Linked DNA regions of Macaca fascicularis. The protein of the gene in region 2 binds, or shares a complex with, the protein of the main gene of each other region. Links are inferred from orthologs where the notes say so. Each region holds a gene or a part of one and is shown on either strand. Other genes may lie near its edges. The genes, in order: CCNF, CUL1 and CAND2.

Region 1 (3,648 bases), on a different chromosome or scaffold from region 2:
GTTGAGGATGCAGTGAGCTATGATTATACCACTGCATTCCAACCTGCGTGACAGAGCAAGACCCTGTCTCAAAAAATAATCATCATCGTAACAATAGGGGGGAGGTCAGAAAGTGCTGGAAAGAAGGATGAGAGCCACAAGGCAGACAGAAAGCAGCAGGGCTGTTAGGCAGACTCACAAATGTCTGCAAAAGGCCCAAGTGCCACCAGCATTCAGTTTGCTAAAAGACACCAAAGACAGAGATTTGCCCGTCACGTGACAGCTCTATCAGTGGGGTGGAAATGTTTTAGACTCAGAAGGTGGGTAAGCCACCAGATCTAGGAATTGGAGGCAAAGGGCCCAAGGGTTGTTGGAAAATCTGTGCCCGGTACTGTGTGGCCACAGGAATCCTGACTGGAATCCTGACTGTCCCCAGGCAGGGGTCACCCTGTTCTCTGCTGTCTACCAGCGCCAACTATCAGGGAACACGCTGCTCCAGTGGCCCCTGCAAAGCACCTTCCCGTTGGACTGAGGCCAAGTCTCTTGGCTGCTCCGTCCTGGGGATTCTGCAGGTTGCATGTGTCATTCACTTGACCAAGAGGACAAGAGGCACGGGGACTACACCTGCCAGCGCAGGGACTGCAGACGCCAAAAAGATGAGATGTCAGTAGCCAACAGGGAGCCCAGCGTAGGGTGTGAGGTGGCTGGTTGGGGCAGGGCACTTCTGAGAGCAGAGGTGGCGGGCAGCTCAGCCTTTAAAACCTTTTTTTTTTTGAGACAGAGTTTCCCTCTGTCACCCAGGCTGGATTAGTGCAGTGGCGTGATCTCGGCTCACTGCAACCTACGCCTCCCGGGTTCAAGCGATTTTCATGTCTCAGCCTCCCAAGTAGATGGGACTACAGGCGCCCACCACCACGTCCAGCTTGCTTATTTATTTATTTATTTATTTAGAGACAGAGTCTTGCCCCATTGCCCAGGCTGGAGTGCAATGGTGCGATCTTGGTTCACTGCAACCTCTGCCTCCCGGGTTCAAGTGATTCTCCTGCCTCAGCCTCCTGAGTAGCTAGGATTACAGGCGCCCACCACCACGCCCAGCTAATTTTTTGTATCTTTTTTTTTTTTTTTTTGAGACGGAGTCTCGCTCTGTCGCCCAGGCTGGAGTGCAGTGGCCGGATCTTAGCTCACTGCAAGCTCCGCCTCCCGGGTTCACGCCATTCTCCTGCCTCAGCCTCCCGAGTAGCTGGGACTACAGGCGCCCGCCACCTCGCCCGGCTAGTTTTTTGTATTTTTTTTAGTAGAGACGGGGTTTCACCGTGTTAGCCAGGATGGTCTTGATCTCCCGACCTCGTGATCCGCCCGTCTCGGCCTCCCAAAGTGCTGGGATTACAGGCTTGAGCCACCGCGCCCGGCCAGTTTTTTGTATTTCTTAATAGAGACGGGGTTTCACCATGTTAGCCAGGATGGTCTCGATCTCCTGACCTCGTGATCCGCCCGTCTCGGCCTCCCAAAGTGCTGGGATTACAGGCTTGAGCCACCGCGCCCGGCCAATTTTTTGTATCTTTAGTAGAGACGGGGTTTCACCATGTTGGCCAGGCTGGTCTTGAACTCCTGACCTCATGATCTGCCCACACTGGCCTCCCAAAGTGCTGGGATTACAGGTGTGAGCCACCGTGCCTGGTCCCCCAGCTTGAAAAAAAAAAGATAAGGCAGAATTGATTTGAGGGAGCTGTGATGATAATTATATGGACCACCGCAATCAGGTCTTGTGGTTGGGGAAGAAATTGGACTCAGCTCCCTGAAACGTTTTTAGTGGTTATTCTCTCACTGCCAGCCGGTTTGTGGCCCAGGAGCTTGGTCGTAGGTTGCGGTGATGGATATGTGGTCAGATCCAGGGAGGCGGCCACCCAACCTCCTCAGCTGTCTCTGGTAGGAAGACCTGGGATGCTGGATTCAGGCCCAAGAGCACATCTGAAGACAGCTCTGGATGCTTGTGGCAGGGGTTGCTCCCTCCTTCCGTGGGAATGACACTGCATTGAGCCGGCACACGCAGGCCCAAAGAGACTGCACCTCCCAGTTCCCATCTGGTGAGATGTGGCCACAAGACTAAGCTCAGTGCAAAGGTAAATGTGGCAGGTACAGGTGTCACAGGGACAAGGGCAGCACCCTAGCTGGTGGCAGAGATTAACATGGGAGATGGGGTTCCTCTGCTTCCTCGTGAAACAAAAAACATCCCAATGACCTGAGCCCGGACCCTCTGCCTCTGGGTTACCTGTGCAAGAGAGAAACAAGTCTCTGTAGCTTACACATATGCTGTGTGCAGCCAAGCCTATCCTCACCCACCAGGCTCTACAGAGGAGTTGGTCTGGAAAGCACTTCCTTGGGAAATGTAGACCATGCTGGGGACAGCTGGTTTAGGAAATGCAAAACGTATTGTGAGAATCATTTCCACGTTATTCCCAAAGGCGGAACTAGGGGATCCTGCATTAGTTAAAGGAAAGCAGTGGTCTGATGTGAAAGGGACAGACTGCCGTGTAAGGACGCACCCTGCTGCTGAGAGACACCCATGTGGTTGGAGTGGGCTCTGCAGGGCACCAGTGGGGGACGAAAAACCCTCTAACTCCAATAGTGTAGGAAACTCTGGCAACAGACTTTAGAACCTGACTTCAGAGAAGGGCAGCCGACTGCCACCCTCCCCAGTCAGTCATCCTGCCGCCCTCAGGAGCCAGGGGACAGGGCGGTTCAGCCTGTGCCTGCCAGAGTGAGGCCACACTCTGGGTCCTGAGACTGCACACCAGGACAAATTGCCTGGATGCAGGCACCCCACACAGTGGCCCCCACACGCTGAAGGCTGTTCCATCACCCCTGCCTGCAGAGGCCCTCAGTATGGCACTCCACGTCTGACCAGGTGGGACACTCACGGCTCATGAGTCAAGAACCAGTAAGGGCCAGGTGCAGTGGCTCATGCCTGTAATCCCAGCACTTTGGGAGGCCGAGGCGGGTAGATAATTTGAAATCAAGAGTTTGAGACCAGCCTGACCAACATGGTGAAACCCTATCTCTACTAAAAATACAAAAAAATTAGGCGGGCATGGTGGTGCACGCCTGCAGTCCCAGCTACTCTGGAGGCTGAGGCAGAAGAATCGCTTGAACCTGGGAGGTGGAGGTTACGGCGAGCCGAGATCGCACCAGTGCACTCCAGCCTGGGTGACAGAGCGAGAATTGGTTTCCAAAAAAAAAAACAAACCAGTGAGGAGCACGTGAAGGGCAGGTGACCCTGAACCCAGGACAGGCCAGGACGTCCCTGCCAGCTGGGCCGAGGGGGCTTCTCACCGGGTGCAGATGACCATGCAGGCGATGCCCAGCAGCTGGAGCCTGTACCGCGGCACCAGCCTCCTCCGCAGGTACCGGTCCACACACTCCACGGTCAGGTGCAGACACAGGCTTGTGAAGTCCTTCATGGTGGCAACTTCCACCAGCCAGTCGATCAGAATGTACCTGCGGAAAGAGCAGCGCGTGGGAACTAGGGCAGGCATTCTCCATGCGTCCCTGTCTGCAATTTCAACTCCACCTGTTGGGCCCGACCAAATAACCTGGCTAGCTCTGGAATCATGGGTTTACCCTGGAACCTAGGCTGAAGAGGCCATGGAGAGCCCGGGAGGCTCCATGGGT
Region 2 (3,648 bases):
ATGAAAATATTTTAAAGTGAAATCTGTTAGAGCATTGTCATAATTGCCATTTGATGTGGAAACTTTGAATAAACTAAAGGGAAATTATTTACCGTAAGACTGTACAACTCCACTAATCAATCTTGTATTGATGGTTTCACCATTCCTTTCCTTTTCAATCAGCTTTAAAACAGCATTTGTTACCTTTAGAAAGGATGTAGAAAAATATTACACAGGTTATAGAATATGATAGATATTACTACATATCCCTTAAACATTCACAGCCATTAAACAATGTAAGATGGGATAATCCAAAGGAGTGAGCAGACAAAGGCTAAGCAACGAAACTGTGAAGGGATTTTAAAAGGAACACGCACACGCACACGCTTACACCAGTAGGTACCTGTTTATTCAGTGGCCTGAACAGACAGTCTCTCCAAGTCACCAATGCAAGCTGGAGAAAAAAAAGTACAAAATATCTATACTTTTACTATGTTTTTCCAAGATTGAAGTCGTAGGAAATAATCTAAATCTCAAATTACTTCATCAAAATTTCTAGATTACAAGTTGGTCAAAATCTGCTATCATGACGAAATCAGAAAGCCACTCTCTAGAGTCAACAACTTCAAGAGGTATCCAAGCACAGACATTTGTCAGCTCAACTTCTTTATTTATATTTTCTTTAACTGTTGTTGAAAACAGTATAGGAAAAGTTTAAAAACCGTAATTATTTTTAGGAGTCTGTGATGTGACTGTAGGGTACACATTTAGGCCAAGCAGGTTTCCAAAAGCAAATGAACCAAGATCATCCTGATTCCTATACTAACAACTTTGGAGTCTCAAGAAAGCATTTATATGTGAAAAAGAAAAAAAATCCCATTAGCTATTCCACAATACACACATATTTCAAAAAGGCATGGTGTACACATTTTTGTCAGTTAAAAAAATAAACAAAATGTTAAAGGGGAAGCACAAAAACCCCAAATCAAACAACTAAACCTAGAAAGTTTTGTTAGAACCAGACTAACTACATAGCAAAGTATCATTATGAACCAATTAACAATTTTGGTATAGAAACTGGAGTTACACAAACAATAAAAACAAGTCATGCATCCGGGATACATTATGCTTTTCTTTCTTTTCTTTTTTTTCTTTAGACAGGATCTCACTCTGTCCAGTGGTACGATCATGGCTAACTGCACCCTCCACCTCCTGGGCTCAAGCGATCCTCCTACCTCAGCCTCATGTGTGGCTGGGACTATAGGTGCCTCACCATGCCTGGATACATTTTTTTGTACGTCTCATTATGCTGCCCAGGCTGGTCTCCTGTCTCGGTCTCCCAACGTGCTAGGATTACAAGCATGAGCCACTGCAACCAGCATTATGTTTTTCTTTTAAATTTGTCAAAAGTGAAGCTACAAAGTATTGCTATTATAGCAACATTCTTGGATATGGTGATTAACTTCTTTATGTAGAATCTGACATTTTAACAAAACTAGTTTTAAAGGGCATTGCCTGTGTTGATCACGAACAGACTGTTCTGAGTCCTCCCTTAATTGCTCTAGAACACTGGTTCTCAAACTGGAGCATGCATCAGAATTGTCTGGAGAGCTTCTGAGTCCTCCCTTAATTGCTCTAGAACACTGGTCCTCAAACTGGAGCATGCATCAGAATTGTCTGGAGAGCTTGGTAAAACATTGCTGGGCCCCATCTCCAGAGTTTCTCCTTAAGTCTAGGATGAGGCCTAAGAATGTGCATTTCTAACAAGTCCCCAGGTGATGCTGACAGAGCAGGTTTGGGGACGTGATACGGTTTGGCTATGCCCCCAGCCAAATCTCACCTTGAACTATAGCTCCCATAATTCCCACATGTTGCGGGAGGCACTCAGTGGGAGAGAGCTGAATCATGGGGGTGGTTCCCCCACACTGTTCTCATGGTAGTGAATAAGTCTCACGAGATATGATGGTTTTATAAGGGTTTCTGCTTTCGCTTGGCTCTCATTCTGTCTTGCCTGCCACCATGTAAGATGTGCCTTCTGCCATGATTATGAGGCCTTCCCAGCCACGTGGAACTGTTGAGCCCATTAAACTTTTCTTTATAAATTACCCAGTCTCACGCAGTTTATCAGAAGTTATGAAAACAGACAAATATGGGACCATACTTTGAAAGCCAATGGACAAAAAAACCCCTTTTGCTGACTGAAGCAACATATATTAATGAGAGTGATTTAGTAATTAATTCAGGGTCCTCTCCCTGAAGCAGGGTTTCCCAGACTATAAAGCATGGGAGGGCTAATCCTCAGGGCTCGCCCTCAGGTATGGCACCTGATTTGCCTGGGACTGCCACGACTCAGGACTTTCAGTGAGAAAACTCAGGCAGTTCCATGCCAATTGTGATGGTAGGGTCAGGTAATTAAAGAAGAAATTTTTAAAAAGCAAATGCAGAAATGGACAAATTGTATTTTAGAACTCCAATTTACCCATTCCTCTACTTTCTTGCTAAAAAATATTTAAGGGACATTTATTGATAAAACAATGAAAATTAGTTTACTACTCTGAAAAAAGCTTAATATTTGCCTAGATTCTCTTACTAAAAGACAATTTATCATTTTAAAAAAACACATTTAAAACAAAACTCTTACTGAATAGATTTCATATATTCCTTTTCGTCCTTCGTCACATTCACGGCGAACCCAATGTCTATTGAGGTAGGCACAAATTCCATTCAGTACTTTGCTTGAAAATCGATAATCTTCCCATTGTTGAGTGTAGAATTTCAGTACACTCTCATCCATCAAATCTTCTCCATCCTAAAAACAAGTTAACTAAAGCTTTAAGATGACTAATTTGTCACATTATAAATTAAAAATAAAAGTGAGTAACATCTACTGTATTAAAATACATTGATACATGTGATTTTAGATGGCTTCTTTAAATTATTCTGTATACAAAAACATGCTAATAAACTCACAAGAATATAGTAAAAACAATTCTTTCATCTCAAATTAAACAGGAACATTTTTCATGGTATTAAATATCCACAAACACTCAAAAAAAGTACCCTGAACATTTGATATGCAGGTAATTCCTTTTTATTAAGAAATTTACCTCAAAATCATCTGTATTTTTAATATTTTGTTTAAAAAAGAAATTGGCCAGGTACAGTGGCTCACACCTGTAATCCTAGCACTTTGGGAGGCCAAGGTGGGCAGATCACTTGAGGTCAGGAGTTCAAGACCAGCCTGGCCAACATGGTGAAACTCTGTCTCTACTAAAAATACAAAAGTTAGCTGGCCGTGATGGTGCATGCCTGTAGTCCCAGCTATTCGGGAGGCTGAGGCAGGGAACTCGCTTGAACCCAGGAGACGGAGGCTGCAGTGAGCCAAGATCCTACCACTGCACTCTAGCCTGGGCAACAGAGCAAGACTCTGCCGCCCCCCCTCCCCCGCAAAAAAGAAATCAAATCAACATGTCCTACTCAGCAATTCAGACAACGAGGCTAATACTATTCAATTTTTAAATGTATCTTCTTCCTTCTTAAACCATCAAAACACTTTTTTGTGGTAATCTGTAAAAATAATGTGAGTACGATAGTATAACAATACTTCCTCTTTAACAAGCCCTCGTAAAGAAAATGTGCATTTACCAAAATTATTTTTATCCAGATTTC
Region 3 (3,648 bases), on a different chromosome or scaffold from region 2:
TAAGGTATGTGAGAGGCTGGTGGTTTTCCATTCCCAAGAGTCTATATGTTTATGAAGCATCTTCTCCCTCAGTTGCCCATGGGCCTCCAGGACAACTCTAGAAGATGCAGATAGTAAGAGTTTCTCACGTTCATTTGACAGATGAGGAAAGCAAGGCTTTGAGGTGTGATGGACATGCCAGGCCCACCCATGATTTAGTGGCAGTAGGGAGGCAGGGATGTGAACCCAGGCCTTTTAACTGGAGGGCCAGGCCCTGCTGCCCATCATGGGCATGCCTCCCAGGTCTCCCACTGCCCTTAGCTATCAGGTAGGAAATATCAGCCCAAGCTTAAGGACTGGGTGGGGGCACTGAACAAGGTAGGGGAGGCAGGAGGGAGGTGCTCACCGATGAAGCTCTTCAGGAGGGGGTCAATGGGATGGGGCTGGTCCGAGATGAGGAACTTGACCGCTGTGATGACAGTGCTCCGGGTGTGTGGCCGACCTGCAGAACAAGAGGAGGTGGAGGTGAGTTAGTAAGGGGCAGGGGCCAAACCTGGATGCTTACAGGTCAGAAGGTGCAGAGGCTCCTCCCCTTGCTTCCCTGGAAGACAGAACTGTACCCCCTCCCCATCTCTGGGAAAGTGGATTCTACCATTTCCCTTGGCAGCCTTGACTCTCCCCTCAATCCTTCATGCTGTAGCTGAAACAGTAGGACTGCCAGTGCTTAGGTAACCACACCACAGGTTGCAAACAGGGAACCGATAACCAAGACAGGAACTGCTCTGACAAAGACCTTCCCTCAGGCCTTGGGATTTTTCAGACATGTTATCTCAATTAGTCCTAACAATGATCCTATTAATTAATAATGATAAAATAGTATTAAAATCACCAATAAAAATCATCTCTTTGACACATGAGAAAAGAGACTCAGAGAGGATAAGTTCGTGTCTAAGGCCGCACAGCAGATCCAGAATTCCTGGCTGGGCCCTTCCTCCTGGGCCTGCATTCTGGCTGGTGGTCAGGGGGGCCTAACAGAACTCGGATCATCTCCAGGCTCGGTCGCGGAGAGCTCGCTTACTTGTGCTCTGCTGCTTGCTTTCTGAGTAGAGAAGCCGAATAAAGAGGGGGAGGGCATTCCCTTAATGAAAGAAACAAATGGGTGGATGCTCCACCTGCCTGAATCTCTCCTCAGTGGCTTGCCCCGCTTGCCCCCCACCCAACCCCCAGCACACTGCAGCGAGTGGGCTAAGGTGCTTCCACCACACAGGCTTTACGTTCAGCCTCGAGGAAAAGTTTACCAATTGGTGCTAAGGCATGAATGAATGGAAGAGTTACTGAACTCAGACTTTTAGCTTTTACCTCTTTCTCTTGCCAGCCTGACTGGCTCCCAGGAAGATTTAGGGTGGCTGATGAAGACAGGCACAAGAGAGTTAGATTAAGTGAACTGAAAACAAGAACAAGGCCAAGGACGACTGAAGGCAGAGAGGTGAGAAGGAGACTAGAAGGAAGACGTACAGAGAGCATCAGTTAGGAAGTTCCAGGAACCTACTAGAAGCAGGCCACTCATCTGGCTCTAAGCTTCCCAGCAGTTGGTGGTAAAAAGGAAATGTGACCAGGTGGCTGGTTCAACAGAATACGTGGGACAGAAACAAATAGGTGTTTAGGCAAAGCAGGGCTCCTCTGCATCTTAAGACTCTCGTCTGTCAAGGTTCTTTGTGTGATGTAACAGACAGTGTCCTCGACAATGTTCTTCCATCTAGTCATGAGGCCAGACAACTGCTTCTTATGAACCCAGCAACCCAAGAAGGCCTTAACTGAAATCACTAACATACCTAGTAACAGCAGCAGCTCTCAACTTACTCAGTATTAATTACTGTAGGTACCACACAGTGTACCAAACACTGTACCTGCGTTCTGTCAACCAGAGCACCCACTGGTTCCATAAGGGGCCAGCTGGCCAGCTTGAAGCCCACTGGCCTTTCATTCTGGGGACTCTCCCTTTCCTAGGAGCCCCACGACCCCACCTGCCTGCCTTCCACCTCCTGAAGCTAAGATACCTGGTGTGCCAAAACATGACAAACCAAAACGCCTGCCCCTCCTGGTTCTTGCCCAGCCCTCCCCAAGCCTCAGGGGCATGTCAGCCTGTTCCAGTCCATACTGACATCTGCTCATGGCTCAGGCTAGCTGAAAAGAGCTGACCCTCTGCAGGTTGCAGTCTATGCTACTCAGAAAACTGTTTTTGTTGACCTCTGTGTGGAGCACTAAGCTACTGTCCACATCGAGGATTATGAAGTTGGCATCATGAGTTTTTTTTTTTTTTTTTTGTAGAGGCGGGGTCTCATCATGTTACCCAGGCTGGTCTCAAACTCCTAGGCTCAAGTGATCCACCCACTTTAGCCTCCCAAAGTGCTGGGATTACAGACATGTGCCACCATGCCTAGCCTACATCATGAGATTTTTAAGTGTATTTGTTGTAGGGACCTATCAAGGACTCTGTCCCTTCTATCCCACAGTCCCATAGAAGGGAGCCTTTAAGTCTCAGGTATCACTGTGTGTTCCTCTGTAGCTTCCTTGCCTCTGTCGCATAGATACCATGATTCTTGTACCCAACGACTTGAAATAGCTCACTCTGCCCCAGCTGCTTGGATGCTCAGTGACAAACTGCCCACCTCCGCGCTGGGTTGCCTTGCCCACACCTGTGTGCCTACCTGCAGCAAGCTGCTTCCGGAAGCGGGGCAGAAGGAACGAAGGGTTCACAAGGACCAGCTTCCCAATGCACTCAGCCACCACCCCCCGGGTGCCCTCCTCAGCGCCCTCGCAGCGCCGGAACAGCAGGGCCCAGACGTCCTCAGCGTAGGGCTTCAGGCTGTCAGGCTGGGCGGCCCCCAGGGCCTCCCTAAGTGAGTGCAGCAGCAGGTACTGTCGTCGGGGCTCAGCCTCGATCTGCTCCAGCAGGAAGGGCAGGAAGTCGGGCAGGCTGCCAGCACCCACACGGCCCAGTGCATACGAGGCCGCAGCCCTCACATCCTCACTGGGTGACCCCAAGGCTTCCAGGAGCACTGCCTTCAGCTCCCGCTGGGGGCCTGGCCCAGCCACCTGACCCACCTCAGCCAGCGACAGGAATGCCAGGACTTTGACCCCCATGCTGGAGTGGGGCGACCTGGCATCGCAGACCAGACGGTTGGCTGTGCTTGCCGCCTCTTGGGGACAGGCAGCTGAGAGGGCTGCCACACACCGGGCCAATGAGTGGAACACCTGCTTGTGCAGGCCAGGCCCACCATCCACAGCCTGCTCATAAACAGGAGCAGTGAGCAGGCTGATGAGTTTAGCATAGTCCACACACGGGGGACGGGTCCCCACCAGGGCCTGCAGGAAGCCTTCAGCGGCTGCCAGAACCCCGGCTGGCAACAGAGGCGAACGCAGCAGCCGCAGCAGCTCTGAGAGCACAGGGCCACTGACCTCTACCAAAGAGGCTGGCTGGGCCTGGGTCACTGTGGCAAGGAAGTCCACAGCCAGCTGGGCCACGTGCATGTCACTCTCGTTGACCAGGGCAGGCAGCTCAGCCAGCACAGCCTGCACGGCAGACGGTGGGAGGCTGAGGCCCTGGCTCTGGGCCAGGGCATCCAGGGCTGCCAGTGTGGCCAGTCGCAAAGCCCGCTGATTCTTCCG

Evidence for each region.
Region 1: CUL1 (region 2) and CCNF share a complex: the UniProt entries of both Homo sapiens proteins name them as parts of the SCF(CCNF) complex. The link is inferred for Macaca fascicularis from reciprocal best matches to the Homo sapiens genes CUL1 and CCNF.
Region 3: the proteins of CUL1 (region 2) and CAND2 are in contact, whole or in part, in a cryo-EM structure (PDB 8VVY), measured with the Homo sapiens proteins. The link is inferred for Macaca fascicularis from reciprocal best matches to the Homo sapiens genes CUL1 and CAND2. Residues at the interface, in NP_001357589.1 of Homo sapiens: Val31, Thr33, Arg34, Gln35, Met37, Lys39, Tyr42, Met111, Asp112, Trp123, Arg127, Phe128, Val132, Asn181, Leu184, Glu188, Gly193, Glu194, Thr195, Asn197, Thr198, Arg199, Ser202, Gln206, Val209, Glu210, Gly212, Leu213, Asn214, Lys221; in NP_001155971.1 of Homo sapiens: Asp21, Phe22, Phe24, Met25, Asn61, Gly62, Glu63, Gln65, Asn66, Leu67, Glu100, Gln101, Asp104, Asp156, Asp160, Leu189, Ala190, Lys193, Arg194, Glu276, Gln280, Asp343, Asp344, Trp349, Lys350, Arg353, Glu389, Ser492, Ser493, Thr494.

The regions. Positions count from the first base shown.
Region 1 is NC_088394.1:3,216,415-3,220,062, reverse strand, and holds part of CCNF (cyclin-F), read right to left. Parts: intron 3,475-3,648; coding exon 3,310-3,474; intron 1-3,309. UniProt on the Homo sapiens protein: Substrate recognition component of a SCF (SKP1-CUL1-F-box protein) E3 ubiquitin-protein ligase complex which mediates the ubiquitination and subsequent proteasomal degradation of target proteins.
Region 2 is NC_088377.1:190,410,833-190,414,480, reverse strand, and holds part of CUL1 (cullin-1), read right to left. Parts: intron 2,789-3,648; coding exon 2,621-2,788; intron 434-2,620; coding exon 383-433; intron 184-382; coding exon 93-183; intron 1-92. UniProt on the Homo sapiens protein: Core component of multiple cullin-RING-based SCF (SKP1-CUL1-F-box protein) E3 ubiquitin-protein ligase complexes, which mediate the ubiquitination of proteins involved in cell cycle progression, signal transduction and transcription.
Region 3 is NC_088376.1:151,116,493-151,120,140, reverse strand, and holds part of CAND2 (cullin-associated NEDD8-dissociated protein 2), read right to left. Parts: coding exon 2,688-3,648; intron 482-2,687; coding exon 386-481; intron 1-385.